Mytilus edulis: one gene and its partner. The protein of the gene in region 2 interacts with the protein of the main gene of each other region in a pairwise test. Links are inferred from orthologs where the notes say so. Each region holds a gene or a part of one and is shown on either strand. Other genes may lie near its edges.

Region 1 (17,033 bases), on a different chromosome or scaffold from region 2:
GATATTGCTTAAATGTGATGCCATGATATTGCTTAAATGTGATGCGATGATATTGCTTAAATGAGATGCTTATATACATGTAGATTGTGATATGGATGTGATACATCATTTCTAGACACAAGACAGTAATTCTCTTTTTTTCCAGGATTTTATTTGATATTTTTTACAACTGTGCACTGACACTATTTACCACACTTCAATAGCTGTATCATCATGATCAGGGTAGACACTTTTTGTTGGTGAAATCAGAATACCATGGTATTGCAATAAAGACCTTCAGTAGGAAATCGTTAATTATACAGATCAGATGTGTACCCACATTACCTGGCCCTAGCAGGGTTTAAAATTAATTTAATATTCTTAATATATAATTGATGCTCCTGTAGCGTGGTTACTGCGCCTGAGTTTGATAAATAAAGTTTGAAGTTTGAAAACTACAACCTCAATGTTAATATCTTGAAAGGATTAAGTGACCATTTGGGAGAACCCTGTCAGATTTTGAAAGAAGGAAAGAATCACATGTTGATTCAAATTCTCAGTTCATGCAATTTTTATAATAGATCTTATAATCTAAATTTTGAAGAAATCATGACATGAAGTTTTTTTAATGTTTTTAGGGCTTTTTTTAATACAGTAAAATGCTCCTTTTCAAATTCATTTGGACAAAAATATCTAATATATAGCATTTAAAGAACGAACAAGAAATAGTTATTATAGTTTTTATATAGCTTTTTAAATGTTTCAATTATAAGTGAAAGGCTTTTTTTAACAAAGTTTTGAAATATGTAAATAAATGTAGCTACCTTCAATGAGTAAGAATAAATTTCCAAAAGTTATAAGCAAATACATCACTAATTGGTTTTAATTCAGTTTTTAATTAAAATTGCAATAATTTTTAACCATATTTCAGATAATTTGATTGGGTATTGCACTTTAAATTAAAAATATGAGTGATCAATTGATTGTTAGATACAATTTTTGAAACAGTCTAAGACATTGCATACTGTATATAAGCGTTTGATAGAAATTGATAATTCTAGCAAGAATTGTACAAACAAGAGCTCTAGCAAGCCAGGATGGACAGACAAACAGACAATCACCCAATATATCTATATCCCTGCAACTTGAAGTGTGAGGGAGGACAATAAAAATAGCAAAGATAACAATTCTTACTGGGTTATTTTTTACCAGGTTATCAAGATTTTAGCTGGTATTGAGTAAATCAAAATATTTAGACTTTCTATCTACTTGACATGGATGTGAAGAGATCTATCACACAGTTTGTAACCTGAACTATTAATTAAATTGACATTAACACTTCAGTTCTTACAGTATGTAAATAATTACTGAAAGGAAAATATTAAGATATAAGTCTGTATGTAAGTCTGATTACTATTAAAGATAAATTTTGTATATTGTACTTTAAAATTGAATACATCTAATAAGCAGTCTAGCCTTGTCAATAAATTCAAAGTGAAATGTTTGCTTGGTGAAAACCAAAGTGTCTTAAAGTTTTAAAATAAATTGCAAGCAAAAAAATGGAGGAATTAATTTAAAATAAAACTAATTACATTCAATGTACATTTGTACATTTAATAACTTTATCAGCTGTTTATAAACATAATAAACCAATGCCCAAAATTGCTAAATTTTGAAATAAGAATCTGAATTTTACCAAAAATTCTAAATATGCATGTTATTTGTATACAAGGTATACATGTACAAAATGTATCATGTATATATATCATGTATATACATGTAGTGTAGTACTAATAACATATGCATGAACATGGTTATTGGAGATACATACAGTACTGCATTCTATTGTACTGAATATGCATGAAATACTTGCCACTGGATTGTACTCAACGATCATTTTTTTTTAAATTGGGTTATTGTTGCTCAACTTTATCAATTCCAGCAGTCTTTTAATATTTTGTATGTAGTGTTAAGTGTCACAGTTATTTATAGACATTTGACTTTTGTCAATTTGAATTAATGATTGACCACTCTTGGCCATGGACAAATTTGTTTACCTGTTAATTAAAGTTCCATACATGCCATAATTGAAGTAATAATTATCTATATGCATAATTTCATGGTTAATGCAAATCTCATTCTTCTGTTATCATAAACATACTCCCTTAACCATCTACAAGCCTCCAACGTTAACACTGTCCACATACAGTGTTTGAACTCACACTACCTCAGTGTTGACAGGCTTATAATAGAAGTAGTTGGACTACGCTCATATGATGATTCACCACTAGTCCACTAAATGACTAAGGCCCCTCAAACAACAAATGGAAGTTTTTAACGACCTTGATGGGCCCCTCAGAAAAAAATGTTACACATATATATATATATACCTAATTTTGTTGATTATAAAACATACATTTGTACATACATGGCATATGAGTGCCATTGCCATTTATGTGAGATATCCTTGATGGCACTAAGGGAGCTACCATTTGATTTTTAAGGGGCTAGGATGAAAAATTTTCTCCTGTATTTTTTTTTAGTTGTTATCTCTGTCCTGCCTTTTTATTTTTCACTCTTTTCGGTCCTGCCTTTTTTTTCTTAGTTTATCCTGACTTATTTTTACATAAAAAGTAAAAACACAAAAATACTGAACTCCGAGGAAAATTCAAAAAGGAAAATCAAAAATCAAAAGGCAAAATCAAAAGTCCAAGCACATCAAACGAATGGATAACAACTGTCATATTCCTGACTTGGTACAGGCATTTTCTAATGTAGAAAATGGTGGATTGAACCTGGTTTTATAGCTAGCTAAACCTCTCACTTGTATGACAGTCGCATCAAATTCCTTTTTTTTTTTTTTTTTTTATTCAACAATATATTGCTTGCTGTTAACAATTGACTCCACTAGTCCAGCCTCCTAGTGAAGAGTATCTGCATTTTAATATCATTTCTCTCTGTGTAACAATGATAAAGTACAATTTATCTAGACTATAGTGTATATAATTCATTTTCAACCGTAAAATAAATAATTATATATGAAATTCTAATTTATCAATATGTATATCTAGTCTGTTTAGAATTAAAAAGTTTCCGGAAATAATTCACACTTGCCGTTATCGGTTTCCTATTATTGAATTGATATCTCTTCCTGGTTTGGAAATACCAGTTTTAATAATGATTTATGATTAATATATGCAATTCACAGGTATGTATAAACAAATATTACAATATATGTGTATCGATTCTGATAAAAATAGAATGTAATTAATTTTTTCCCCATTTTTTTAACGATAAAAAAGTGGAGAGCAATACCGTTATCTCCACGCTTATCGGTGAAAGGTGAAATTATTTCTCGAAATCAGTTCCTGATCTGGACATTTTAAATTATTTATCTTTTTCTATTCTTATTTTTTGCTAGATTATACATTTGCAAACATAAAAATTATTACAACAATTTGACAACTTTATCAAGTAGACATTTATTCTTAGTATGTTTACTAGTTGCCTGCATTTTGTAGCTGTACATGAATTCTGTTTTAAATACAGTATATACATCTAAAGATTTTGTTTTCTGTTCAGACATATAGTTTGCCTTGTATATACAAAACATTATAATTGTAATCAAATAATTAATTTCATAGTATTGTTCATCATTTATTTTATAACCCCAAACTAAATTTTTTAATGTTAGAATATTATTATTAATATTCAGTTTTTCTAAGAGTGTTTTTACTTTTCTCCAGAAATTATCAAGATAGTGACATGTTAGAAACATGTGATCATAATCCTCTGTGGTGTTGCAATAATGACAATTTGAAATATCGCATATCTTCCACTTTTTCAATAAAACTTTACAAGGTAAAATAAAGTGTAGCAATTTCCAACGGAACACTTTGTATTTATTATCTTTTAAAAAATAATGAACAAACTTTAACATATTACATGAAAGACTCTTAATGTATACAAGGTTAAGCTTTGTCTTCCATTTATAAAAACCAACAGGTATTTCAATTTCATTCTCAATTAATATATTATAAATTTTTCTGGTATCTACATTTTCTAATTTTTCTTTTTTATTGCAATTATCAATAATATGTATTGCATAGGGCGTTTTTACTTTAGTTTTCTTTGAGTTTTCCTGTTTTAAAATCTTTAACCATTCTCTTGGAAAAGCTTTCTTTAATTGGTAAAATTCTGACATCCAGTTACTTTTTATTTTAAGCTTTTGTAAAATAAAATTTTCTTCTATATTACCATTTTCATCAATGATGTCATTAATAAAGATAAAATTACTATTTATCCAGTTTTGGAATAAAAGGCATTTATTTTTTATCTTTAAGAAACGATTTCCCCAAATAACTTCTTGACGTATAGATCTAAAGTTTTTTGGCTGTTGTACTTTTTTATTATTTATCCATGCTTTTACAATGTTGAAATAAAATTTTGGCAGCTCCTTTAACTCTGGAATAGAGTCAGTGTTATCAATATTCATGTGAAAGATAAGGAAATCTTTTCCAAACTTATTAAAATAAAAAAGTGGAATAATTTTCCAATTTTTTAAATCTCCATTAATTAACCTTTTGATCCACCCAATTTTGATAGATTCTATATATTTATCTATGTTAATCATTTTTAAACCCCCATCTAGTTCACAAAAACTGAGTACTGTGCGTTTAACCTTTTCTCTTTTGCTTTTCCATAAAAAATTATAGATAATTTTTTTAAATTTAACAATATATTCTTTTTCAATATGTGAAACAGACGCTAAAAAGGTAATGTTTGGTATGATCAATGATTTGATAACTGTTATTTTACCGATCATTGTTAAATGTCTTTTCTCCCAATTTTTTATGATCTTTTCAGACTTTTCTATTTGTTTTTCTGCATTTAGTTTTTGGCATTCATTTTTGTTACAACCGAAAAAAATTCCTAAACATTTCACTGGTTTGTTTGTAAAGTTGATATTTTCATATTTTTCTTTGCAATGTTTGTGTTTTCCTAACCAAATTCCTTCTGTTTTTGATCTGTTTAATTTAAGCCCTGACAAAGTGCCAAAAATTTCAATCATGTTTAATACTTTTGAAATGTCTTGTTTTGTTTTTAAAAAAAGTGTGGTGTCATCTGCAAGTTGACTGATTTTTAAAGAATGTGTTTTCCCATCTATTTTGATTTCAAATCCTTTAATATTATTGTCTTGTCTTATTCTACATGCTAATATCTCGACAGCAATAACGAAAATTAAAGCACTGCACGGACATCCTTGTCTAATCCCTCGAAAAATGTTGAGTCGCATCAAATTCCATTACATTGTCAACGATGCATGAACAAAACAAACATACTCAAAGAGTAAAAATGTCAAAAATAGGGGTACAACAGTCAATATTGTGTTATCATCTTAATATCACTACATAAACAACAAATGTAACAAAGTAGCACAAAAAGGCATACATCAAATTCAACATTCTCAATTTGCTTTTCCTATACGGCTGAATTTATCTATGTAAAGTCTACCCATAAATGAAAGAAGGTTTTCATTACTGGTGTAAAATTGCGCGTTTGAAATTCGCACAGGTAGACATAAAAATTATTTTGTCGTATGACGGCATACATAAATGCAGACTCATGTAAAGTAGATATAACAAAAAACAGACTTACAGTAAAAATAATAAATAAAATAATGGTGTGGTTCAAAGTATGACGGGATACATAAGTACAGTTTCACGTCAAATACGGCTGAATTTATCTATGTAAAGTCTACCCATAAATGATAGAAGGTTTTCATTACTGGTGTAAAATTGCGCGTTTGAAATTCGCACAGGTAGACATAAAAATAATTTTGTCGTATGACGGCATACATAAATGCAGACTCACGTAAAGTAGATATAACAAAAACCAGATTTAACAGTAAAAGTAATAATAATAAATAAAACAATGGTGTGGTTCAAAGTATGACGGGATACATAAGTACAGTTTCACGTCAAATGTATATCATAAAAACAGACTAAACAGAAAAAGTAGTCTTATTGAATAAAATAGTTTTGTCATTCATAGTATGTCAAGATCCTTAAGTAAAAGTAATATCAATAAATGAAATAATTTTGCCGTTCAAAGTATGTGGTTTTACATAACCACAGAGTCACTTCAAATGAATATCTAAAAAAGACATATAAAAGAATACTATAATACGTAATTAAGATGATAACAAACGTCAGTACGCAAAATCTATACTTCAAGACCATCTTGTATTATTTGTGAAGTTGATACGGAATATTTATCAACAAGTTCTGGGTATCTTCCGATGAACTTTTTTAGAAAAAGGACGAGACGTTCTTTGACATATCCCTGGTTCATCAATTTTCTGCTCAGACACTGGTGACGTTTTACAAAGTCTGAATAGGAGCTGCAAGCTCTTGAATACCTAATAAGTTGGGAAATGTATATTCCATATGCAGGTGAAGTTGGTATATTACTACTAAGGTGGGGGAAATTGATAATTTCAAAATTAAAATCGTCTCGTTTGTCATAGATTCTGGTACTGAGATGACTGTGTATGTCAAATTCGAGGTATAAGTCTAAAAATGAGGCAGAGGAAGCCGTCATCCTGACTTATTTTTACATAAATTGTCATCCTACCTTTTTTTTTACTCAAAACTCTTGTCATCTGGTCATGCCTGTCCTGCCTTTTTTTCAAATTTCATCCTAGGCCCCCATAAAAATCAAATGGCAGCTCCCTAACTTGATTGAGTGCGTCTAATTGTCATCACAATATATATATTTAAGGTTATTGCAATAATTTCAGGAAAGGACTAGTACTCTTTCAGAAATTTTACATTTTCGATGAATATAAATTAACTTGACCCACCATAAATAAAGTATATCAAATCATATATATTTAATTGCATCATGTTATAAATATTATAAGCCATTGTAGGCATATATATCATGTAGATTAGATTGATTAATATATGTACATGTTATATGAAGCATTGACATTCTATTCAAGTATATAACTGCATGAGATTGCATCATTTTCTGTCCGGAAAATAAATCTCCAGTTTTTGCATCAGAAAAATGAATGCCTATGCCATAAACAATGTATATATATCTTAATAAAACTATTCTTGCAACAAAATAGTCCTTGATAATGGTAAACAGATGTCACTTTGTATATTATAATGGAATTGTGATCAAAGGAGATCCTGTATTTACCTGAACTTAACTTGTACCAGGTGTAAACAATTATATAATAATATTATGTAATATCTGTCATAATCAATTATGACTGCAGTTATTTGTAAACAATATTTATCATAATAAGCTTAAAAAGTTTAATGTAATTAAAAATGAATTTTCTCAACATGTATTACTTAGAAGGTTTATCAGGTTTGCTACATTTTATGTTAACCTGGTTAAGCAGGTTTTGTATTTTTGCATTAAATTTATGGATTTGTTTCCTATGCATGCATGCATGTACATGTACATGTGTATATACTTTAGATGCTATTTGTAAAAGCATGATGTATATTCATCATTTTCATCAGTTCATTGTATTTGATTTTAAATAAAATTTGCTGATTTACAAAATTTGGTCTACAGGGTCTACTTAATTCATGTTATTTCATGTGTTTAATGAAAAGATACAGCATTTAAAAGTCAAATGTACCAATGATGTTTCCCCCAAATAACATAAAACATTATATTATGAACACTTTTAGCTATAGTACAATGTATTTCTTCAAATGTTGTGTCAACTGGGCCCATGCCATAAATCATCATATCAAAATTAATAAAATACATGTGTATGATTACTGTAAATTCAGAAATTATTGCATGTTTTGTTGAGATATTGTCATTTCAAGACTTAAATGTGATTTTGTTTTGCGTTATTGAAAATAATCCTCTTAAATTCATATAAAAAATTTCAGAATGAGAGTTCAAATTATTGCGATTATCACATATGATTATAACCCACTCGCATTTTTCACTATGATAAAATCATCGCAATACTTTTTGAATTACAATGTTTACAGTACATTGTAGGCATGGTAAGTAATAAATCTGTCCCTTCTGTCAGATGTCTGATAGACAAATATTTACTGGTCCAATTGTCCAAATGTTAAGTCAACAAACATGTAATTGTATGATCCCATATTATTATGCAGATGATATATATCAAAACGATGTAAACATCATTGAACAATCACAGTTCTTAAGGTTCATCATAACAAATGGACAAATATGGCCGTATTTTCACCTCTATGTGACATAGAGCATTGTGACACATATATGTAGAAAAGTTCTAAGAAAGAGCATGAAATGGAATTTGGTCTTTATTATGCCTGTATAGTTCTTTGTTTATTTCTCAAATACATATGAAATATATTTCTATATGTACATGTACTGTAGCCTGGAGGGAGCAGGATATAGGATCCTGGTCTGAAAATTCTTCCATCATTTCTATCTTTTGCAATATGCATGTAAGTTGGAGTAACATGCAAATATACATGTATGTTTTAACTTATGTAAATATTAACATGATTAATAAATAATTTGCATTGTTCTTTTATTCATGGCAATTTAATCTCATTTTATTACAGTTGCAATTAAAACTTGAAGCTTTTATACTCTATAAATACAGTTGTAAGAAAATACCTGTGTTACCAATGGAATCAACGTCTGTTCGATAGATTTAGTTCGAATTTCCAACGACAACCGGGCTTCATTTCTCAACCCTGCCATCTTTCCAGCTTCCAAGCTGGGTCAAAGGTTGTGTCGCTTAAGAACTAAAGAATATTAACAAATGACGTATTTATCGAATAATTCATTTTAGACTTATTCTAATAAACATGAATAAATAAATTGACAATCATCAATTTGTTATGATTATGTATGATGAGAAGATTATGATTTTTAAAATAGTGTTTTTATTTCAGGGTGCTTAAGCGGCAAGTTCAGGTTGCCACTCGCACTGGCGGAGATTAGCACCAGTTTAAACATAAATCCTGCCTAAACCACGGGATGACAGTTTCGTAGAAATGACATGGGTGAATACCATGGAGATGGTGTCCCATTTAAGTTGGAAACAAGATAAAAAGGTTTGATCATATTAAATTTAAGTCTTTAGAAATCTAGCTATCAGAAACTAAAGGGACATAACTAAATTCAACAACCGAATAAGAGTTTAAAGTTACAGAAACCATTTGATGTTGTACTTGCATTGGACTAAATAACAATGAAAGTATGTATTTATCAAATATAATGCTATTATTTTCCAAAGAATATGTAATAGAGTAAAACGGAAACAATAAATGTTAATAAAGGGGGCGGATCAAAAGGTTTTTAAAGTGTTTTAAAATCCAGGACAACTGAACTCAACTCCATAGGCAGATCCAGGAGGGCCCGGGCCCCCCTTTCATGGGAAAAATTTGGTTGATTATATAGGGAATCATTGAAACATGACTGGAGCAGGCCCCCCTTAGGTCAGTCAGCGGTTGTCCCTGGTTGAACGAGTGGTTGAAAAAATAGGATGCTATATTGCATAAATAATTTGGCAAATTAAATTCTTATAATATGCACTGCTGTCATTGGGGTATTTGATCCAGTACTTATGGAACAAATATTATTTCTAGGTCATCCACACAGGTACTTGTTTCTATCCATGGGAAGGTCGACTATCCATATAAATAGAAGCTTCTATTTACATGGATATTCAACCTTCCCATGCATAGAAACAAGTGTCTGTGGTCCTCCAGCTGCATAAATTTAATGAAGATCGCAATGACGCATAATGCACTTTTCTAGCGCAGGCATACAGGCGATCCCTCTCTCTAGTAAATGAAGACAAAAAGGTGCCCATAATTGAACTTTTCTGGTGTAAAACTTAACTTGAAAGTGGTCTTTTGCGTGTTATTGAGTCATGTGCATCTTAAACAAAAAAACAACACTACTTTAGCCAATAACAATGATTAAAAAAGTTAAAGTCTGGGGACCTTGATAGTATTTACATAAAAATCAGTAAGTATATATTTACTAGGGATGATAACTCGCTCATAAGGCCTATTACTTAAGTACAATGTACAATTTTAGGTAAAACTCAGATACTCGTTTGCCTTTTATATTACTTAATTCAATCATTGTCACATTGCATCCTATTGTAGTATTTTAATCAGCATGACTTGATGACTTTATGAGATGACAATACAAATACTAAAAATCTAGACTTAAAAAAAGGCGTACAGCTTTTAATTTGATTGCTGGCATGATGTAAAAAACGGTGAATCAAAGATATCAACATTATTTATAACTAATATAGGACAATGCTGTTGATTATAAATTACTCCATTCCAGGCCATTCCAGGCCCTTTTTTTCTTTCTAAATAATTAATATTACCAATAATTGATAAGTTCCAGGTCAACAGGTTCAAACAGAAAGATTTCGAAAGCAGAGAAAACTGTGCATCTTATCATGCTTATAATCAGCATGACTATTCATACTTTATCAGATGACAATACCAATAATAAAAATCCAGGCTAAAATAAGTCTTACGCATAGTTATATACTTTAATTCAGTTAAGGACCCGCAATATCACAGACCCGTGTGTTCTAGTATATAGAAGATGCTTTATTTCCATAAAATGGGCTCACAAGGAGAATTATATAATATCATTATAATATTATTATTTTACAAATATAATAAACAATACAGTATACATAGCACTTTACAAACACAAATAAGAAACAACAGTTTTCATATATTATTATGTCAGTATGTATATATGAGTATACATAAAACCTTTGTCTCAGACACAGCTCTAGAAAGTAACAAAAAAGAATACTGTGAGTAGGCTGAATATATCTAGCTGAACTGCAGGAGGCACCAATGGACGGTGCTATATGGCATGGTGGGTGCTTCTTAAAATGTGTATCGGGACATTAATGATATATAGTAAGATATTGTAAGAAGTTGCATATAACTGGTATGTCATCCTCGTGCCTGGTGCAGAGGAGTCAGTACTATTTAAAGTGACACAACTGCAAGAGGCACCAAGGGACAAAGCTAATTATACCCCCGCTTTAAAAAAGGGGGGGTATACTGTTTTACCTCCGTCCGTCAGTCCGTCCGTCAGTCAGTCCGTCCCATGAAACTTTCGTCACATTTTTCTCAGGAACTACACATCCACCCTTTCTGTAATTTGGTAGCAACATTTATATATGTCAGCCATACCGTGTGATGCGTTTTCAGATTCATCACTTGACAACTTCCTGTTTACCGAAAAAACTTGTATGATTTTACACATGATATCCAAGTTGAAAATTTTCGTCACATTTTTCTCAGGAACTACAATACAAGGATTTCTGAAATTTGGTTTCAGGATTTATATAAGTCAGCTATACCGTGTGATGCGTTTTCAGATTCATCACTCGACAACTTCCTGTTTACCGAACACTTGTATGACGTTACACATGATAGCCAACTTGAAAATTTTCGTCACATTTTTCTCAGGAACTACAATACAAGGATTTCTGAAATTTGGTTTCAGGATTTATATAAGTCAGCTATACTGTGTGATGCGTTTTCAGATTCATCACTGGACAACTTCCTGTTTACCGAACACTTGCATATTTTTACACTATTAATATTATCCACTTGCGGCGGGGGTATCATCAGTGAGCAGTAGCTCGCAGTTTCACTTGTTGACATACCAAAGTGCACATATTACGAAAAAGATAAAATATTACCAGTTTAATCAAAAATATCACAAACAGAAAGGTATTAATAGAACTTATGCGATATATGTCCTATACCCCACCATGCTAACCTAATAAGAGCCTAGTGCATGTAGTGCAGAAAGCCTGATTTAAATATTTATCTTTCAAGTTATATTTTGTCTTCATCAACTAACTCACAGACAGATATTAAAATATCAAGATTCTCTACATTAAGAAGCCATATTAGTTTTTGGCTAGGAATCAAATGCATAAAGTTTGGGCAACTACAGTGAGTTAATAGTGGAATTTAAACAATTTCTCTTATCTTGAAATGATGTGCACGATATTTTTATTCATCTACTCTGGGAGCTGATAAAGGTTATGACCCTTAAACTCATCCAATCATCTTCTGAGATCACTAGCAACCACATGTTGGTTACATTTTTTATATGCCCATCAAAATTTTGAAGGGAAGTATTATGGTATTCAAATGTCTGTCTTCCGTCCATCCGACCATCTGTCCAGTATCCACATGTTGCACCGTAACTAAAGAACCATGCACTTATTCAAATTTCATGAAACTTAATACAGTTGTTTCTTATGATGGTCAAATGGCCAAACGATCTCTATACCTTTTGGTGAAAATAAGATTTTAACTTTTTGAGTAAAACATGGGGGGGGTTTTGTTCACATGTCGCGCCGTATCTCAAAAACAATTTATGATTATTGTTTTGAACTTTACACACTTTTTAGTTATATTATTCTAACATGTCTAAAGGTGTGTACATTTTTTGGTGATGATTCAAATTTTTTTTTATAGTTGTTGAGTTTTTTGTAAAAAAAAAAAGGGGGGGGGGTGTTCACATGTCACACTCTATCTCAAAACCCATCAATTATTATTTCTTAAAACTTTACACACTTCTTAGTTATATTAATATAAAGATCTGTATTCTTTTTTGGTGATGATTCAAAAATCTTTTGGGAGTTATTGAGTTTTTGTATAAAAAAAAAAGAAGGGGGTTTTCACAATTGTCGCGCTGTATCTCAGAAACTATTTATTATTGCATAAAACTTCACACTAGACGATGGGCGTATCATGCACTCATGGTGCAGCTGTTAATTAATAAAATGGGTGCAGAAAGGGATTAATTGTCAAAGAATTAGAGGAAAATATATGTATTATATATACTTATATAGAAAGTCAGAATTTCAAGTTCTGGATTTAAAATTAACTTTTACTTTAAAAGTGGTTGATGATTTGTAATTTAATCCAGGTGTTTAAAATCATCTGATTATTGATTTTTAAGAATGACTGATCTTGTACAATATATATATCTCTCTTATAACAGTATAATATTAAATGTGTTCAGTTTTAAACTTTACATTCTTGAGAAAGTGCTATATTAAATTTCTCTATTTAGAAATGTACAAAGTAACTGTCTAGTTGGTAAATAAACTCATCATAGATATTAGGGTTGGACATGTTGGAAGTTTGTATTTGCGCCAGATGCACGTTTCGTCTATAAAAGACTAATCAGTGTCATTCGATTAATAAAAGGTTAAAAAAGCCAAATTAAGTACGAGGTTGACATTTGATTCTGTTTAAAAATTTACTTCTCTATTTTTACTCAAGATTTGTTTTGCTACATGCATTCTGATGGGACTGTAATACTGTGAAAGTACTTTTATCCGTGGGGAACCAATTTTCGTGGTTTTCGTGGATGACTTTATCCAATTTCCTTCAATCTATACAATTTGTAATCTTCGTTTCTATTATCTTCAATTTTTTCCTTCGTTTTTTTTTTAGAAAACTAAAATCCACGAAGTTAAAAACCGACGAACATGTAAATGTTGTTTAAACCCTGAAAATTGATTCCCATGAATTAAAGTACTTTCACAGTAGAAGAAATTTTATTTAATTATAGTTAAGACCCAATCTAAGACCTTTTCAGTAAATTTGTCATGTGATAGATTTTCTAATTTTGCTATATATATCATTATACATGTTGTATATGGCTGAACATATTAGTTTCAAAATATTCAGTAACAAATTTGAGACAAAATATTTTTGATAGTCAGCATAAAACGTTTCCACTCAAAGCAGCAGTTCCAGGCAGAAACCTAAAAAATACATATTTAGACCAACTTTGCCATTTTCAGTGCATTTGCGCTTTGATTTTAACAAAGATGTAAACAATAAAACTCAATGTACTCTAAAACATATTTCATTAACAGCAAATGTAGCCTAAGAATGTAACATAAGATGCATATAAAATTTATTAAAAAATTGATTAACAAATTGTGCTCATTTAATTTATTTAAACATCTGACATGAACATATGGTGAAAACAAGATGTTTGTAATATTTTGTAAATTAAGATTGATCTGAACAAGATAACCCCATGCATGATGACCTTTTAAACATGACTAACAGATATATAGTTATATACTTGTATATAAATGATAAATTTTTGATATAGAGCTTTACCTGTGTATTTATGATGTAAGGGTATATCATAGTATTTAAAATATATATATATAAATGGATTAAATGTTTATTTTGAATAACAAATTATTTAGATCAAAGAAAGTCATGTATATTTGCATAAAATTGTAAACATATCTCTTGGTTAACAGCCAATTTAGATTAATTTTCAAGGGTTAAAAAATTAAAATATTACTACTTTTATTTAAATAATATATATTTGTGCCAAAATATTATATATTTGAACTTTTATAATCATAATAAAAAAAAATATTGTGCTAATTAATAGATTGTAAAGAAAATTAGTAGAAATAATTTCCTGAAAAAAAGTGGAAAAGTTTTAAGACCTCAATGCAGATAAAATGTTAAATGTGTCGATTCAGTTTCCAGTATGTGAAATATTAAATGTGGTGCTTATATTATATATATTTATATATCAAATAGCAAATCATGAAATTAATGGCCAAAAATTAAAAGAAAGAGAAAAACAACTTAAAATTTTAAGATTACAGAAACAAAGTACCCAATTCAGACAAACATGTACGTGATGAACATGTAGTTAGATTACTAAGTAATCATGTATTATGTATCAAATACTCTATTATTGGCATCATACATGTACACATGATACATTTGACACATGAAGTACAATTTTATGTGAATGGCATACTTGACAAAAGTAGATTTAGCTATTTAGTGTTGGTTTATATATCATTTGACAGTCATCTCAAATGATGAAACAATATTACTTTTATTAACATAAGGACTCCTTGATCATGTTTAATTTTTAGGTTTTATAGGAAGTGACCTTGCAGTATTGCAGTTATACAAATTTATCAATTATTGTACTCATGTACTCAGAACTTTCAACTAATCAAAATACTGGATCATAAATGTTGTTCTCCAAGCACTAAGTAAAGTTTTATGACAGAGATCCATGGCTTGAGTTTTTTTATACATATTCATATTGATAGCAGGGTTTTGTAAACTGCTAAAACATTAAAAGGTAAATTTTAGGTTATTTTGTCCTCATCCTGCATCTCTTTGTTTAATACAAGCAAAAGATAATTGATCTATTGTTAAGATTAAATGTACAGGAAAATTGTATCATAATAATCGGAATTTCCTGTCTTTTTGTACAATGTTGTAACTGTGCAATTATCATTGATTATTGAAAAATTAAAGGAAAAACACAATGATGTAAGGAAGTGTCTTTCCCCGTCAGTCGAGTAACTTATTGTTACATTCATGACTGTATAATTAATTTTGATAGATAATGATCGAATGCATCTAGGTAAGTGAATTTATACACTGCTCTGTAGCTAAAAAATACACCAAAAAACATAGTGCATGGACTGTGACTGACTGACTTAATATTCAAGTCATATGTTATTTTTTTTAACAAACCCATTTTTTTTCAGTTTCTGAAAAGTTAGGAACATTACTGATTATAAGAGATCAAATATTGCACAAATCCTTTGGCATAATTTGTTGATTCAATAAAATAATATAGTAAAAGTGTCACAAGTTAATGAATAGACAGTGATAGATGAGAGAAAGTGAATTATAATTTGAAATTCTTTTGCTTTGCAAGTTAAGATATACTTTCAATCAAAATGGGTTACATATGCTGGACATCACAATGAAATTGGCAATACAAGATATTTTTGTCGTCACTTTGCACTCCAGTTCTTTTGCTTTGCAAGTTAAGATATACTTTCAATCAAAATGGGTTACATATGCTGGACATCACAATGAAATTGGCAATACAAGATATTTTTGTCGTCACATTGCACTCCAGTTCTAGATTTGATAAACCCAATAAGAATTGGCCAGTTTTCATTGAATTCTATCTATATTTCTTATAACACTATTGATTGGTAACATCAGCATGATTACAAGCACTCAAAATAGTTTGTCAATAGCAGAAAATATTGTTTATTCTTACCATTGTATACTTTGAAAATTGTAAATGATATGTACATCAGAGCTACTATAGATTTTACTTTTATGATTGATTAGCTTCGGTATATACATATATATATCGATCATTATCATAATGATCATTTATATGATAGTTGTAAAGAGGGGGTATGTGTACTGACGAAAAGGAAATAGAATGGCTATTTTACAATGAATGAAAAAAAAAAGAAATAGTGTCATGATCATTGGTTTTTCAACGATTCACCTGAAACAAAGTGAATAATAAGTTACAAGCATGAAATCCTGTGAATTAGATATTGAACATTGTTGAATTTACCATAAACTCTAACATGCCTATAGCATAGTATTTCTTTTAATTGCTCCCAACAATACATACAATTATTATTTTCATCTAAAAATGTTTCAGTTAATTATTATATGCCTCTGCTGTTGGCGAAAAGGCAAAGAATGTCAACCTTGACTTTCTGTCTTTCCTTCCTTCTGTCCTAATTTCCATTTGCTTGAAGCTTCAACAGGGGCATTCCTGTCCTCTTACACATTCTTTTATTTTTATCAATAGTACCCAGCAATCAATCATATCACAGACTTATAGATTTTTTTCTTTAATGAATGATATATATGACTGGCATCTGAATTAAAAGCCATCATGGTTATATATATAGGTTCAAAGATATAAAAAACTAAATCATGGTTATATAGGGCAAAGCTAAATTTTCTGTAAAGCAAATGCTCTCAAAGATTTTATGTATAGTATTTTAATTTTATTTCAGAAAATCCCAATGATTCCATCAAGTAGCTCTATCGGTGCTGATCTTCATTGTTTAGAGCCTGAACGATCCATAAAGAGCCATCCCAATGACAACACTAAAAGGCGCACTCTATTCCTGAAGAAGATTAATAATTCATGGGGCT
Region 2 (16,466 bases):
AAATCAATATTTCAAGATTTGAAAGTTAAAATTTTACTTAGCTTTGTTGACCACAGGATTGAACTCAGTTATGTGATACAGAATCAATACAAGTATACTGATCATTTATACCTAAATGCCATCATTCACAGCTCCAACCATACTTATTTTAATTTTAATGAAATGTAATTTTCAGGTATGAATTTCTTATCTCTTTTCCTATTCTTATATTATTGTTGGTCAATTTCAGTCCATGGGTGATGCCTTTTACAGTAATATTTTTAGGGGGATTGCGTAAAGAAATGATGAATTATTTTTTTAATCAATTTGGTATTTATCGATGAATTAAAAGAAGAGAAATCTGTGTCACTTAATCGGTTCTATCAAAATCATTAACAGTCTCAAAAAGTGTCATCTTTTCAGGAGATTTGGCCGTGTGATTGACGATCTTAATAACAAATTTTCATTATTTTTTTCTTGCACTGGAGGTGTGATACACACATGCAACGAAGTTACAGAGGATATAACGTTTTTGACCCATTCGTCCCCCCTTGAAACCGCCATTGGGCTTCATTTCTTATGGCACTTCATTCGAATCGCATATAACATTTCCACTTATCAAATCCTTAATTTTGCATGAGTTCGATATTCAGGAAAAATCACCATATGGGGAACAATACTATTTGTGGGAGGGAGTGATTAAATATCACACAAATTTTCATCATTTTGTTTTCGTTTTACCCCATATCTTGTAAAACGTGTTTAAAAATATGGTCAATGCAAATGAAGTTACATCAAATCCTGGAACAAGTTTCTTTATCACGAGTACGGTCTCTGAAATGGGACAACAGTCTTGGTCCATAAATAAATGCACGTTTTCACGTTGTCGTTGTTCGTCGCGAAATATGCTTTATGTGCTAAGCTGCGTAAATCAATCACCAATCAATCACTCACGTTAAAATTATACTTGGTACAGAATAAACATGACATTATGTAGGAGAGTTTTATTATTTTAAATTATACTGAAAGAAAAAAAGAAATAGTACATTTTGGTAAATACAAAATACCAATCTAATTAAAATATTGATCTCTGATTACGTTATACTACAGACTCATATGTAGTATAACGTAATCAGAGATCAATATTTTAATTAGATTGACAAAATACAAGTAGTTTCCTTCACTTTGTTCGTCTTTATGCATGGTCACGTGGTGTGGATGATCTGTCACGGATTCAATTTTCATTCAAATTTCTGGCACTTGATAACAAGATGAGCCCTATAATATACTACTTGGTAACGACGAAAATAAATGAATCCCCAGAAGATGTGGTATGAATGTTAATGAGACAACTCTCAAGCCAAGTCACAATTTTTAAATGTAAACCATTATAGGTCAAAAGTACAGCCTTCAACACGAAGCCTTGGCACCCACCGAACAGCAAGCTACAAAGGGCCAAGAATGGTATGGCTAGTGTAAAACCATTCAAACAGGCAAACTAACGATCTAATCTATATAAAAACGAGAAATACTTATGAACCACATCAACAAACGACTACCAATGAACATCAGGTTACTAGCTTGCAAGTTACAGCACCCTGAAAGAAAGCAACTACTGTTCTAAAAGTTTTGTTACAAGACCGTCTTATTTTAGAAAGACTACCATATGAACCCCCCTGGTTGAAGGAATTAGCAAAATCCACAAATACCGGGCGGGGTAAAAATGGAAGTCTTGTTCTTAGTTTCAGTGGAGTTTAAAACTATATCACTTGATATTATAGTATATAAGCTTTAGTTTAAAATCTTTGATTTTTTTATGGCTTTTATTTGTCGTGTATATATGTAAAAGAAGATGGTGTATGATTGCCAATGAGACAACTGTCCACAAGATACCAAATGACAAAGAAATTAACAATTAATATAGGTCACCATACGGCCTTTTACAATGAGCAAAGCCCATATCGCATAGTCAGCTATAAAACGACCGAAATGCATTTATTTTAATCATACTACATATACGGGGGAAAGATGTATTTTTTAGCTCCTAATTTTACTCAAAACATCTGTAAAAGAAGTCTATACTATATTTGAGCTACTTCAATCATTCAATACTCCGAGTAACCAGTAATCTGTAATCTGTAATCTGTATAATAAATTCTACCAGTCAAGGCACACCTCCAATTATAGCTGGAGTGACATCCACCACCACGAATATATATATAATTAAAAACCAATTCTTCAGAGAACAATTGAAGGTCTTTCCACCTCGATAATAAGAATGAAATTTAAAGAAACGAATGTCACTCCTTGTTGATGTAATTTGGTTCTTCAAATTGATAATAAAAAATAAGATTAATCGGTCTATGCAGAAGACTTAATTGTTTTTAATATGAACAGAAAACAATTTTTAGCAAAGGTCAAAATCTAGAACGTCAAATTGACCTTTGACCTTGACCTCAATTTCAAGGTCATATGTCAGTGATTTCAAATCAAAACACCCCAGGTCAATCGTTTGTATGGTTGTGGAGAAATACTGATTTCAAATACATAAGGGGAGAAAACTCCTATAAGAGTTAACCAAAACACTTCGACTGAAATAGGTTGAAGTTGCGCCTTTTTATAAACAGTAATTTGGCAAACAAATCAAATCATTACCTGTAACAGTTTCTTTAAAATAACGATAACAAGCAAAATTCAAAATTTATAACATGACCTTGACCTTTGACCTTGACCTTAAATTCCTTCAAATGGACTAAGGACTTCATATCAAAAGACTGTAGGCCTATATAGTTACGATTTAAAATGTATGAATTTATCCAACAAATCGCCTTTCTTAAATTTTCAAAGGGAAATAACTCCCATAAGATGTCTTCTGATCACTCTAGTCAAAACAAAGCAAATCCTTCTCAAGAGTAGACGAACAATTTGGTGAAAACAGTTTGCTGAAATCTATTACGGTTTTAGAGATATAGCGATAACAAGGAAAAGGGGAAGCGGGGAGATAACTCCTATAAGAATAAGTGTTCGGTCACACAGGGTGAGTTTTGAAACCCCCATTACTGTACAAAATCATTGGCCAAAAAATCCATTTGATATGTTGTAAGACAAAAAAGCATCTCAGACGGCAGAAGAAAAAAAAAAAAAAATAATCAGAAGAAAAACAAAAGGTCTTTCCACGAAAAGTGGAAAGACCTAATTATCACACAAATAATGGTTCCATCCACCGGCCGAATATTATATACACACATGCCAATTTATACTATACGCAATAGGCAAATTTAAAAATTATCTAAATAAGAAGTGATAATTTGGACTGTCTTATGCTGAGTCACTTACATAAGAATTTAATTATATATAATTATATATAATTAACCAATAGTCTTAAACTTTCCTCCTCTTTTTGAGTTGTTTAGTATTCAGACCGAGAAGTCTATATCTTGTTGTATGTAGTAGGTGTAACATTTTCCTACATTGAGGTTCAAGAAGTTTTGATAAATTATCAAATATTTGATCACTGTTATTTTTGCAATAGTTGTAAGGATCGCAAATCAATCTGAATAGTTCAATGTTATTGACTCTGTTGCTCTCAGAGAAAATTCTACCAGCAGTTCTCACTATCTTTTCCAATATGGGTTTTCTTACAGCATCTAAAGTTACACAAGTAAGCAGGAAATGGGATAATGTTTCTTCTCCATTTTTGCATAATTGACATGTTGGGTCCACTGCATTAGAGTTATATTTGGCTCTTTGGGATTGTAGGATGTATACCCCTGTTGCAATTTTCACTCGCGGTGGCAATTTTTGTATTATTTTTGGGTCAGAAGTAGATATACTGACTAACGGATGACAATGACCAAGGCTGTATATTGGAGATAAATATTGTAGGCTATTGAAATGTTCTTTCTCATCCAAGATCTTTCTATGCCAGTATGTTTTAATTTTATTTACCATGCTTCTTTTCCATGTTTCTTTTGTTGTTATTGTATCCAAAGATTCTACTGGGTCTGTTAGTTGATATTTAAAACAAATTTTCTTTGCATCTATGAACCAACTGTTGCTTTTGCACGATTTAATTTTCAATTAACGATTTGCTATTTTCCATTCAACAGTTGATTTGTCAGAACATAGAATATTTCCAAGTAAAGTTATAATTTTAATATCAATTTCAGCATTTATGGGTAGTAATCCAGATAATAAATATATAGCCGGGGTTGCAGTTGATATTGGTAACGATAATATTTGTTTTATCGTTTTCTTGTAGAAAGATTGTAGTATTTTCAAAGATTTGCTGTTGGTCATTACAACATCTAGTCCATATAATAGAATGGGCATAACATATGTTCTGAAGGTGGATATAGATGTAGATGGGTCTAGTCCATTTTCTCCATGCAAGCCACTTGCCATTAAACTGTATAAAGCTCTTCTTGCCTTCTTGATGTTTTCCTCAGCAGTTACTAGTTGTGTGTTACAGTTCGATCTTTGTATCCCAACATGTGTGGTTTTATCAACTGTAGGCATTTCCCTATCATCCATAAGAAGTGTCGTATCATTATGGGCATTGGTGTTGGTTTGGATAGGTAGTACAACGCTTTTAGTAGGTTGTAGTATATATGACTTTCTTTTGCTGTAATCGTAACTATGTTGACTAGTATTTGTGCTTCAAACTGAGAATTACTAGTTATGGTAGGATCATCAGCACAAGTAGGCGCACTACAGTTGATCGTTCCAATATGTCCTCCAAACCCGGTGTTACATATTTCGTTTAATAGATCGTTTACATAAACTTTGTAAAGGTCGGCACTAAGAGTGCCACCTTGTCGGACACCTTGTTCAATATTAAATGCATTGGATTGTTCACCGTTCAATTTGACACTGGATCTTGCATTTTTATATAGATCATCAATCATGAGTATTTCTTGCGGTGTGAGTCCCATATGAAATAATTTACGTATAAGGCTCGAATGTTTTACTGGTCAAAGGCCGACTTAGCATCTAGCATAACAAATATTGTCTCTTTTTCAGATCTTTGTTCTCTCGTTGAAATTCCTCCATAATTAATGAGCAATATAATTTAAAGGAGATGCATTCTTGGTAAAGCCTCGCTGGAGTGGATTTTGTATACATATAATTTTGGGATTGATGCGAAATTTAAGTACTGTTTCTATGATCTTTGATAGAGTTGGAGTTATTGTGATGCCTCTATATTTTTTTGCGTCATTCTTGTTGCCTTTATTTTTGAAGACTGGTGTTAATATTCCAAATTTAATAACATCAGGTATAAAGCAGAATTCAAAAGAACTGTTTAGTAGAGTTTGTAAATATGAGGCAAGTATTTCTCCACCATGAATTAAATTTTCAGCAGTGACTCCATAGGTATCCGGGGATTTGTTTCGATTAAGACTTTTAATGGCATTCACGATCTCTTGTTTCTCTACTGGAATATGCCTGAAGTCATGTTTGCATATATCTATGATAGTAGCATATTCGTTGTCTACCTGCTCAATATATGCTTGGTCGAATTGACTGTTGTCACTTTGTTTAGCAAGATTTGCAAAGTGTTCTCTAAAGCCCTCCAATATTCCCCCTTCTGTGTTGTATTTTTGTCCGTTTACATTTAGCTCATCAATATGCATTCCAAATCTTCCTCTTTGACGTCGAATAAGTTTGAAAAATAAATTGGAGTTGTTACTTTTGGCATTAATCAGTTCGCTTTTCCTTTCTAGTTGTTGTTTTGCTAGTGTTAATCGGCATTCTTTTCTAAGGTTACAAGTTGTTACTTTCTTCTTCTGTAACCACTGATTATTGGGATCATTAGGTCGGTTGTTCTGTTTCCAATCATAGTATGCATTCTTCTTGTCAGTTATTGCTTGACGAATTTCTGGTGTCATCACTTGTAGTTTTGATTTCTTCTTCCTTATCTGTTTGGATGGTCCTGAGGTAGATGCCGCCTTGGATAGTAGCTGATTTAAGTCTATATAAGCATGTTCAATATTCTTTATAGATTGGAGGTTTTTGTTCAGTTCTAATATGCCATTTTTTTCGAGCCTGCAAGCAGAAAGCTCGACATAGGGATAGTGATCCGGCGGCGGCGGCGGCGGCAGTGTTAGCTCACTTCTTAAAAGCTATATATTTTAGAAGGTGGAAGACCTGGATGCTTCATATTTTGTATATAGATGCCTCATGTTACGAAGTTTCCGTCAGTCACATGTCCATTGTCCTTGACCTCATTTTCATGGTTCAGTATCACTTGAAAAAAAAGTTCAGATTTTTTGAAATGTTAAATTCTCTCTTACTGTAAGTAATAGGATAACTATATTTAGTATGTGCGTACCTTGGAAGGTTGTCATGCCCGTCAGACAGTTTTCACTTGACCTCGACCTCATTTCATGGATCAGTGAACAAGGTTAAGTTTTGGTGGTCAAGTCCATATCTCAGATACTATAAGCAATAGGTCTAGTATATTCGGTGTATGGAAGGACTGTTAGGTGTACATGTCCAACTGGCAGGTGTCAGCTGACCTTGACCTCATTTTCATGGTTTAGTGGTTATAGTTAAGTTTTTGTGTTTTGGTCTGTTTTTCTCATAATTTATGCAATAGGTTTACTATATGTGTTGTATGGAATGATTGTAAGGTGTACATATCTAGCGGGCAGATGTCATCTAACCTTGACCTCATTTTCATGGTTCAGTGGTTATAGTTAAGTTTTTGTGTTTAGGTCTGTTTTTCTCATACTTTATGCAATAGGTTTACTATATTTGTTGTATGGAATGATTGTATGGTGTACATGTCTAGCGGGCAGATGTCATCTGACCTTGACCTCATTTTCATGGTTCAGTGGTCAAAGTTAAGTTTTTGAGTTTTGGTCTTTTTATCTAATACTATATGTCATAGGTCAACTATATTTGGTGTATGGAAATATTTTATGATCTATATGTCAGTCGTGCAGGTTTTATTTGACCTTGACCTGGTTTTCACGGTTCATTGCTCAGTGTTAAGTTTTTGTGCTTTGGTCTATTTTCTTAAACTATAAGCAATAGGTCAACTATATTTGTTGTATGGAAGCATTGTTAGATGTACATGTCTGCCTGGCATATATATGGTTCAACTGACCTTGACCTCATTTTCATGGTTCATGTTAAGTTTATGTGACGGTCGTAATAAAGCTTTATATTTAGGAGTATCAACATAATATCAATGATTAGTAAAGAAGGCGAGACATTTCAGTGTGTGCACTCTTGTCTATTGTTGAGTTATTTTTCTCAATATCTACTTTGTCCCAGTTGATTTTCGGAGTCGAACATATCCTTTTGTTAGGTTTATTGTGCATACAATATTCATATTTAATTCTTGCTACGATGGGGTAGTGGTCTGAAATGTTTCCAGGTATGTTTTCAAGCTTGATGATTTTAACAATACTCCTGCTGAAATTTTCGCTATATAAGAAGAAGTCAATGTAAGTTGAGTCGCAACCATTTGGGTGTATAAAAGTTGGACCTAGGTCTTTAGTTAAAAGATTATGTTCTTTCATAAATTCCTGAAGATGGTTTGATCTTTTACTATTGGAAAATTGGCTTGCATTTTCATTTAAATCTCCTCCAAGCAGTATGATGTGAGTATCTTTAAATTTTGAATATATATTTCGTGCAGTAGATCTATACACTCCTGAAATTCTTCAATACTGTCTGGTGACCCCTTACAAGGCAGATATACTGATATGATTAAAAGTGGTTCAGCAGCACTGAATTCAATACATTGTAAAATTGAGAATGGAAATGGGGAATGTGTCAAAGAGACAACAACCCGACCAAATAAAAAACAACAGCAGAGGGTCACCAACAGGTCTTCAATGTAGCGAGAAATTCCCGCACCCGGAGGCGTCCATCAGCTGGCCCCTAAACAAATATATACTAGTCCAGTGGTAATGAACGCCATACTAATTTCCAAAATGTACACAAGAAACTAAAATTAAAATAATACAAGACTAACAAAGGCCAGAGGCTCCTGACTTGGGACAGGCGCAACAATGAGGCGGGGTTAAACATGTTTGTGAGATCTCAACCCTCCCCCTATACCTCTAACCAATGTAGAAAAGTAAACGCATAACAATGCAAACATTAAAATTCAGTTCAAGAGAAGTCCGAGTCTGATGTCAGAAGATGTAACCAAAGAAAATAAACAAAATGACAATAATACATAAATAACAACAGACTACTAGCAGTTAACTGACATGCCAGCTCCAGACTTCAATTAAACTGACTGAAAGATTATGATTTCATCATATGAACATCAGGCACAATCCTTCCCGTTAGGGGTTTAATATTATACCATCATAACATATATGGGAAGAACATAACCCGTGTCATGCCAACATGTTTTTAGAATAAATGTGTTTAGTTCCGATGCAAAGACCTTATCAGTGACTCAATATTAACGCCAAAATATGCAATCTTTAATGACTTGACAACAGTATTGTAATCATATCCCTTCTTAATAAGTCTATTCAAAGGTTTTGTAAGTTTCTGAGGTGAATACTGACACCTTTGTGCTTTATAAAGAATATTTCCATAAAAAATTGGATGTGAAATACCTGAACATATTAGAAGTCTGCATGTTGAGCTATATTTACGAATGATGTCTTTATACCGATGATAAAATTTAGTAAATGTTTTGACTAGTTTGTGATATCGAAAACCCTGGTGTAATAATTTTTCAGTAATACATAAATTTCTCTCGTTAAAATCTAAAACATTGTTACATACACGAGCGAATCTTACAAGTTGAGATATATAAACACCGTAAGATGGTGACAAGGGAACGTCACCATCTAAAAACGGATAATTAACGATAGGAAATGAAAAATCATCCCTTTTATCATAAATTTTAGTATTCAGCTTTCCATTAGTGATATAGATATCAAGATCGAGAAAAGGGCAGTGGACATTGTTAGTATTAGCTTTATTTAAAGTAAGTTCAACAGGATAAATTTCATTAATATACATACTGAAGTCGTCATTATTGAGAGCCAAAAATATCATCCAAATATCTAAAAGTATTATGAAATTTGTTTATCAGATGTTGTTTCGATGGGTCTTTGCTTATTTTTGTCATAAATTGTAACTCATAACAATACAAAAACAGGTCCGCAATAAGTGGTGCACAGTTTGTCCCCATTGGAATTCCGATAATCTGACGATATACGGAATCCCCAAAGCGAACAAAAATGTTATCTAGTAAAATTTCAAGGGCATATATAGTATCAAAGCATGTCCAATTAACATAGTTTTTTTGTTTATTGCTACTAAAAAATGAGTTTGAACATATATATTCACATTCTGATTTTTTGAATGCCCATTTAATTAAGTGTGTGAATTTTTTCTTAATGAGAATGTGAGGCAATGTGGTATACAGTGTAGAAAAATCAAAACTTTGAACAGATTCAAAATCACCAATATAAGCATGCAATTTATCAAGTACTTCCAACGAGTTCTTGACACTCCAAAAGTAATTTATTCCACTATTTTCGAAGGCCTTATTTGAACAATTTATAATCAGGTTTTTAATTGTACCAATTGTGCTGGTAAGAAGAATAGACAATTTAGTAGTTGAACAATGGCTATACGTTCGTTCCGATCTGGAAGTTGTGTTATATAGCTATCAAGTTGTTTTTTCCACATGATTGCAACACCTTTGATACCGGTCCGAAATAGTGTGAACCTTTGATACCCGAAATCCGCATATCAAGTTCAAATCTGTATTAAATAGGTATTGTAATGAGCTTATAATTATGTATATTCATAACCTCGATTAGTTGAAGATCAACAAGTTTAAAACAATGACGTCCGCATTATCTGTGAGAACACAAATAGGAATTAGGAATACAGTAATTTTCCAAGCTTAATTTAAATAAGAATTAAATACCAATTTCAAATAATATTACAAAATTACATCTGAATTGACTAATAAATCTTTCTATAACTACACGCTATCATATATGTGCTAAATTATATATGATATCCTTGGATTTTATTTCAACTTTCTTCTTGAATGCACGTTTATACTATAGTGGTATGCTATTCAGCTGTGACATTTGAATTTCAATATTTTTCCTTTAAAAATCGATCGAGCAAATCGTTATATTACAGTAACATAATATTCCAATAATCACAGAGATAATATATATCTACATGTATTTGTTGTTAAGTAGAAATATCGGTTTTATATAGCACATGCTAACGGCAGAACTCTTGAGCAGCAAAATGGTGAGGAAAACGTTAAGAAAATCGAAGCCGATCGATAATGAACGCTACGCCTCGATGAAAGATAAATGATCGACTAACAAGCTTTAATATTTATATCCCGTTATTGTGTGACAACATTACAGAAGAGAATCCGTTTCAATGAATGGAACATATTGTAATAATTATGTTTTGTCACCACCACATTTGACTGATGACATAGAAACCAAAGATTGTTGATGAAGGGGAGGTAGACTCGTTACTTCATGGAGTTCAATACGACGAATAACCACATGTGAAAAATCACAACATATCAATTCGTTTTCATTCATTGACATTTGGGATTTAACGACGGAAATTGTAAATATAACTGTACTACAGATTTAAGTACTCGTATATATAGGAATACTCACAATGTAAGCAATCTGTTGTAACTTGTCACTTTATATTTATTATGAGGGAATATATGTGGAATCAGTGTAGTACAGACTGAGACTGAATATTCCGTCAAGATGACAAACACTACTGCGATAGATGACTGTCTGTCAGAAAGGAGATGGTACATTTTCTTGCTCTCCAGTCTCTTCACATTTATAGCGGGAATTGTTGTTATTGCCGTATACCGTCTAATATTGTGGATATGTTGTCACAAAAGAAAAAAAATACCTCAAGCAAAAGTGGCAAATCATACAGGACCTTTACCTATTCCTGAAAAGAGGAAAGGCTCCCAAACAGTCGGTGGGGCTGCGGGAGGTACCATTTTCTTAAAGACCCCAGACCCAGAAATAGGATGGATGACCGAGGCAAAAGACTGGGCTGGCGAGCTTATTTCTGGCCAGACAATGACTGGAAGAATCTTGGTAAGTTGGTCTATTTCTGTTTACTTGTAGATCATCCCATGATTCAGTCTTAAATAACTAGAACTGATATTTTGTCTTTAAAATAAGTTGCATATGATTTTGAAACATATTTTTCTAAAAAAAAAACTAATATGCTTACATGCTTTTATTTAATTATTTTTAAAAGTTATTTTGGCTGCAAGTTCCTACAATGTTTTTATTACTCCAACCAATGTAAAAATGTAGTATAAACCCGAGGATAAGTAAACAAAAAATACACGTGTAGTATTCTATGCGTTTGATGATTTCTATGTATTACGAATTCTTGGCAACCTATCAGTCAGTGTTATGCAAAGAGTGATGTTTGTTACCCTAGCGATGAATGTATAGGATGGAAAAGAATATATAAGTTATAACATATGTGCTCACTCAAGAATACAACAGACAATGATAGATAATTGCTCATATGATTTCCATTCTATATATTATACCATCAGCTGCTGTCACTACGAATAAGTCGATAGTTTTAATTAAAAATGTTCTTGTACAACTCATCAACTATACCAGGCTACGACAAACGCCTGTTTCGTTTACATATATACAAGACTCGTCAGTACCGCTCGAATTAAAACAGTTAGAAGGCCAAATTTAGTTCGAAGTTGGACAGCAAATACAATTGAAAATTCCAAAAATGTATGCCTTTATATACGGTTAAGCCAATCTATGAGTAAGCAAAACTTAGTAAATCGAATAATTCTATAGTTTTATAGTTTATAAATCACAATGTATATATATATGCAATAACACTTGAGTTCTATGTATATGTAAAGTAATATATGTCATTGATATGCAATAACTGTTTAGTTTCCAGTTCCTTTGTATTTGTAAAGAAATACATGTGATATATATGCAATTCTCCATTTGTAAAGTATTTACATGTAATGTTTTATGATACTAATAATTCATTTTTCACAATACAAATATAGATTTTAGAAGTTTAGAAGAGTTTATTTAATTATAATTCTAAAATCAATTTCGTTCGATACGTAGATTCGGATTCAATATTTCATTAGAGTCTTGCCGCTTGCTATAAATAAATCCCTTATTCATATAAAAAAAGCAACAACCGACAGAAACATAAACATGAAATACAAATGACATTTCATAAAAAGATAACTTCAAATTGGACTTTGAGAGTCTGTCAATATCCTTGTCGTCTGACCTAAGTTCTATAGACATTATATCATTTGTACTTATGTACATATTTTACGGCTTTATAAGCAGTGCTCAGACTTGCACCTTCGAGACAAAAATCGATTAAAATGGATCGCTCCACAGTTATACTGCATGGTTACACGCTAACATATAAAGCGTGCACTTCTCGACTGAAAGCTTCCGAATAGTATCATAAATGTATGTACCGTGTAAGATACTGGAACAGATCATCTACGATCACATGGTAAAACATATAGAAAATGTCAGAGAGCTTACATTGTCTTAAACCATTGATTAAGGTCCGGCTATTCGTGTGAACCGAACTACTGGACATATTGCATAACTTCATGAAACTATGATGCTGGTCACCAAACTAAGGTCGACGTTGCTGGACTTCTCCACGGCAGTCGACACCCAGCAACGCAATAATTATATAGAAGAATAATATTTTATTTCATTAAAGGGCCCAAGCATTTTACAAAACATAACATTATAACTTGAGATTAAAACAAATAACATTCGGCAATGAAATCAAATGATATATAACTTTCTTAAGTAAATGTTTGAAAATCTTAAGCTTTTATAACACGCTGGTTATTACTGTATTGAAAAAAATAATATACAATACATAGTTAACTAACAGATATGTATAAAGTTGTATAGTCCTTTAGGTTCAGCATGTTTCTAGTTAATACAGTAATAACCAGCGTGGAGAAGTCCAGCATACAGTTTTGTAAAAATATCGACACTGACGAAGACCATTTGTTAAGCCGAAATATATATATACATGTGTTTCAAAAGCATGAAAGGAAGCTACATAGTTAACTTGAATGCAGTTGACGATACCATTGGGATATAAGAACGTTTTCATTGATAGAAGAAAGGAAAAGAGAATGTATTAATCAATATCATCTTCATTTCCATATTCTTAAGAAGATTTAAAAACCAATATCTGTTTGACTTTTAAATCAATAGGTAAAATTACAGCAATTTTTTTTAATATGTATGTATATACTTCTCTTAATGTTTGTATGTAAAACTATTCATATAATTTTAAGTTGATCAACATTTTCTACACTAAAAAGCTAGTTTAAAAGTCTAAATAAACTAGACCGCAAATATTATGTAATAGGATCATTCAATAAATCGTTAGATATTTTCTTAAAGTCCGGGAAAATGAAAGTCGATATTGATGAAGGTGATTCTGAAGAAGCGACATCACAAGTATCACAAGGAACCGTGCTCTGTCGATTACATCAATGACCTGCCAGATATCGGGGGTTGGGGATACTTCGATCCTTTTGTGGTAGGGGAGCAGCTGAGTTATCAAGTACTTTGTCCTTTTCATAAACTATGAGTTTTAAAAGTGCATACCCTATCGTATCTAAGACTATAGTTATCACGTGTGTGCTATTTCAAGGAGAGATAATAGATTTGTGTTGTCAGTTTATTTTCGACTTGTGAGTTTAAATTTCCCTTTGGTGTCTTTACTTGAAATTTATCTGATGGATTTCAATTGCCTCTGTGTCTGAAAAAAACCCCATAGAAAACTTTGCCATAGACTGCAGAATTGGTTAAAATGCAAAGAAGTGTTACATCTAGAACAGGGATACATTGTTCAGCCTTGAGCCTTCAACTCTAACAGCTCCAACATAGCCCATAAACTAACTGAATATAGGACTGTACACATCTGTAAATATACAAGTCAATGGACAACTCACATCTTCAATGGAGTCAAGAAAGAAGACTCAACACATGGCTTTCTCAGACTAAATCTACAAATGTGTCCAAAAGACTGCACAAAACATCTTACATATCAATGGAAAGATCCACAATGGAATATGGAACAATGGAAACATATATACACCATGAATGCACAAACGACTTACACCAACAACAAAGTAGTTGCTTAAATCCAAATACTCCTTGATCCTGATGGGTTTTTCGGGGGATGGAGCACCACTTTTGTTTGTCAACTAAAATGCTTGGGCCCCCTTTTATAGGACTTGCATGTGTTTGAAATCCTTTTAAAAATGTCTGGAACCTACGTTGTTTGGTCTCTGATGGATCGTAGTCGTCTTATTGACAATCACACCACATGCATGTATACCTATTTATTTTTTTCATTTAGAAAAGATCAAACGGTTGCGATAATTTCAAATCAAGACAAGAGCAATTGGTTACCACTTGAAAATGCTATTTGACTTAGATAAAAGATGACTTGATCTGCCGTGCAGAACAAGCCAATGAAGCCACCTATCAATCCTGACTTTGAATTTCTATAGTTATAGTAAATATAAAAGGATTATCAAACCTATAAACGTGTTAAGATCTGTTAAGACTTAGAAAGTGTCAGTATCCTGGTCTTAGCAGAAACAATCATAATAGAAATTCAAGATATCATCGGTTTTTGGACATCCTTGTCACAGATTTTTTGTTAAAACTTGCAAGACTGGCTGCTTAAACATTTGATTCATTTCAATCATTTTCTAGCATACAGTGTGCAACAGTTGGAATCAGCCGATAGTGTAGGATTTAATAATGTCCCCAATGATAAAATGTCCACCGGACACATTTTCATAGTAAATACTGTCCATGGACAATTTTTACTTATTTAAATATGTCCTAGACATAATTTCCTATGAAAATATGTCCTCATGTATGAAAAAGTGTCCATGAACATGGACATTATTCACTACCATAATATTGTCCAGGTGGACATTTTTTCACAGGACATTGTGTCCGCCAAGGGATTTTTTGATATAATTAAAGTATTAAATGATATCCATTGCCCTTATTATTACTGGACGCATTTTAACTTTAATTGCGGACTTTAATTAAATATTACTTTGACATAGAGATTTCTCATTATCTCTCATACCATCCTTATCTTCATATTTATATCTTTTGATATAATTATATACATGTATAATTCAAACTCAAAAAAGTAACATATGCTGTTCAGTATCATTTTCCTTGGAGGACACAATTTAATAACATTTACTACGAAAATGTCTTCTCACTGTTCTGTAGATGGACCATATTTCATAACAGTTGCTGTAAAATGCTGTCCACTAAGGAGACAATATTTCATGACAATGGACATAATTTATTTTCTATTGCCTTTTTTCCTGCCAAATAAATATAGTAAAGTTCTTCAGATTTGATTGTACACTTTCTTCTTATTGTTATTCTTTCATTGTCACTACAATTTGCTGGGAATTTCTCTATATTCACTTCAATCCATTATTTGTTTGTTTACATTTGTATTTTGATCAATTTCTCATCAATCCTTCATAATTTGATTAAAATCCAAGTATAATAAAACTTTTTAATGACATTTGTATTACTTCCCTTGGAGGACACAATTTAATAGCAACTACTATGAAAATTTGTCCTGTGGGTGGACACTATTTCATATCTTTTGCAGTAAAAATCTGTCCATTTGAGGGACACTATTCCATGGGAATGGACATTATTAAATACCTAAATTCTATGAAAAACTGTCCACATGGACACTTTTTCATAGGACACTATTATGTCTTACAATAGCTTCCATTCAGCTTTACGATTACGTCAATATAATACCCTTATTTGCATGTTCACATTGCATCATAACTTAGTAGTTTCCGACGCGAGTGTCACGATATTGGTTTGGAGAATAGTTTTTAGATATCCGGTTTGTTTTTTCCTATAGTATAATTGGTGATTTTGGTTTTGTTTTTTGTACATGATCTATCAACTAATAATAATGCAGTTATAATCATTGGACTAATTTAAGTATCATACAATTGAGAATTCACATAGCCCCTACGTTAAGAATTTCAACAGGCTTTTTAATATAGACATCAACCATAGACATAATGATATAGCCTAAATGACTTTGTATTATATAAGAGACATCGTCTACGTATATTTGTACATATGTCTCACTCTCATGTTGTATGTTTCTGATAGGAAATATAATTCATATGAGATCGAGAGTTCGTCAATATGTCACAAGTTAACAAATGCAATTATACTATTCCCAAATACGAACTAAAAGTTAAACCCTATTTAGTCCAGATAATCTGTAAGGTACCTTTCTAATGTGATCTTAGATCATTAAATGGATCCCATGTTGAAGAAGAAAGGCTTCAAAGCAAATATTTTAAATGATTAAAATAGCCAAGGTAACGTCATAATTATTTGGACTAC

The links.
Region 1: the proteins of calcium-activated potassium channel slowpoke-like (region 2) and alpha-catulin-like interact in a two-hybrid assay, tested with the Caenorhabditis elegans proteins (2 studies listed by BioGRID, with this or other methods). The link is inferred for Mytilus edulis from reciprocal best matches to the Caenorhabditis elegans genes slo-1 and ctn-1.

Annotation. Positions count from the first base shown.
Region 1 is NC_092357.1:32,304,602-32,321,634, reverse strand, and holds the start of alpha-catulin-like, read right to left. Parts: upstream 8,761-17,033; 5' UTR 8,722-8,760; coding exon 8,635-8,721; intron 1,380-8,634; exon of another isoform or gene 1,364-1,379; intron 1-1,363. Other genes in the region: cytohesin-interacting protein-like, read left to right, coding at 9,018-9,077, 16,892-17,033. UniProt on the Caenorhabditis elegans protein: Required for slo-1 potassium ion channel clustering at presynaptic terminals and in egg-laying muscles; clustering of slo-1 mediates the intoxicating and sedatory effects of ethanol on worms.
Region 2 is NC_092352.1:16,476,005-16,492,470, reverse strand, and holds the start of calcium-activated potassium channel slowpoke-like, read left to right. Parts: upstream 1-9,625; 5' UTR 9,626-10,727; coding exon 10,728-11,075; intron 11,076-16,466. UniProt on the Caenorhabditis elegans protein: Potassium channel activated by both membrane depolarization or increase in cytosolic Ca(2+) that mediates export of K(+). Its activation dampens the excitatory events that elevate the cytosolic Ca(2+) concentration and/or depolarize the cell membrane.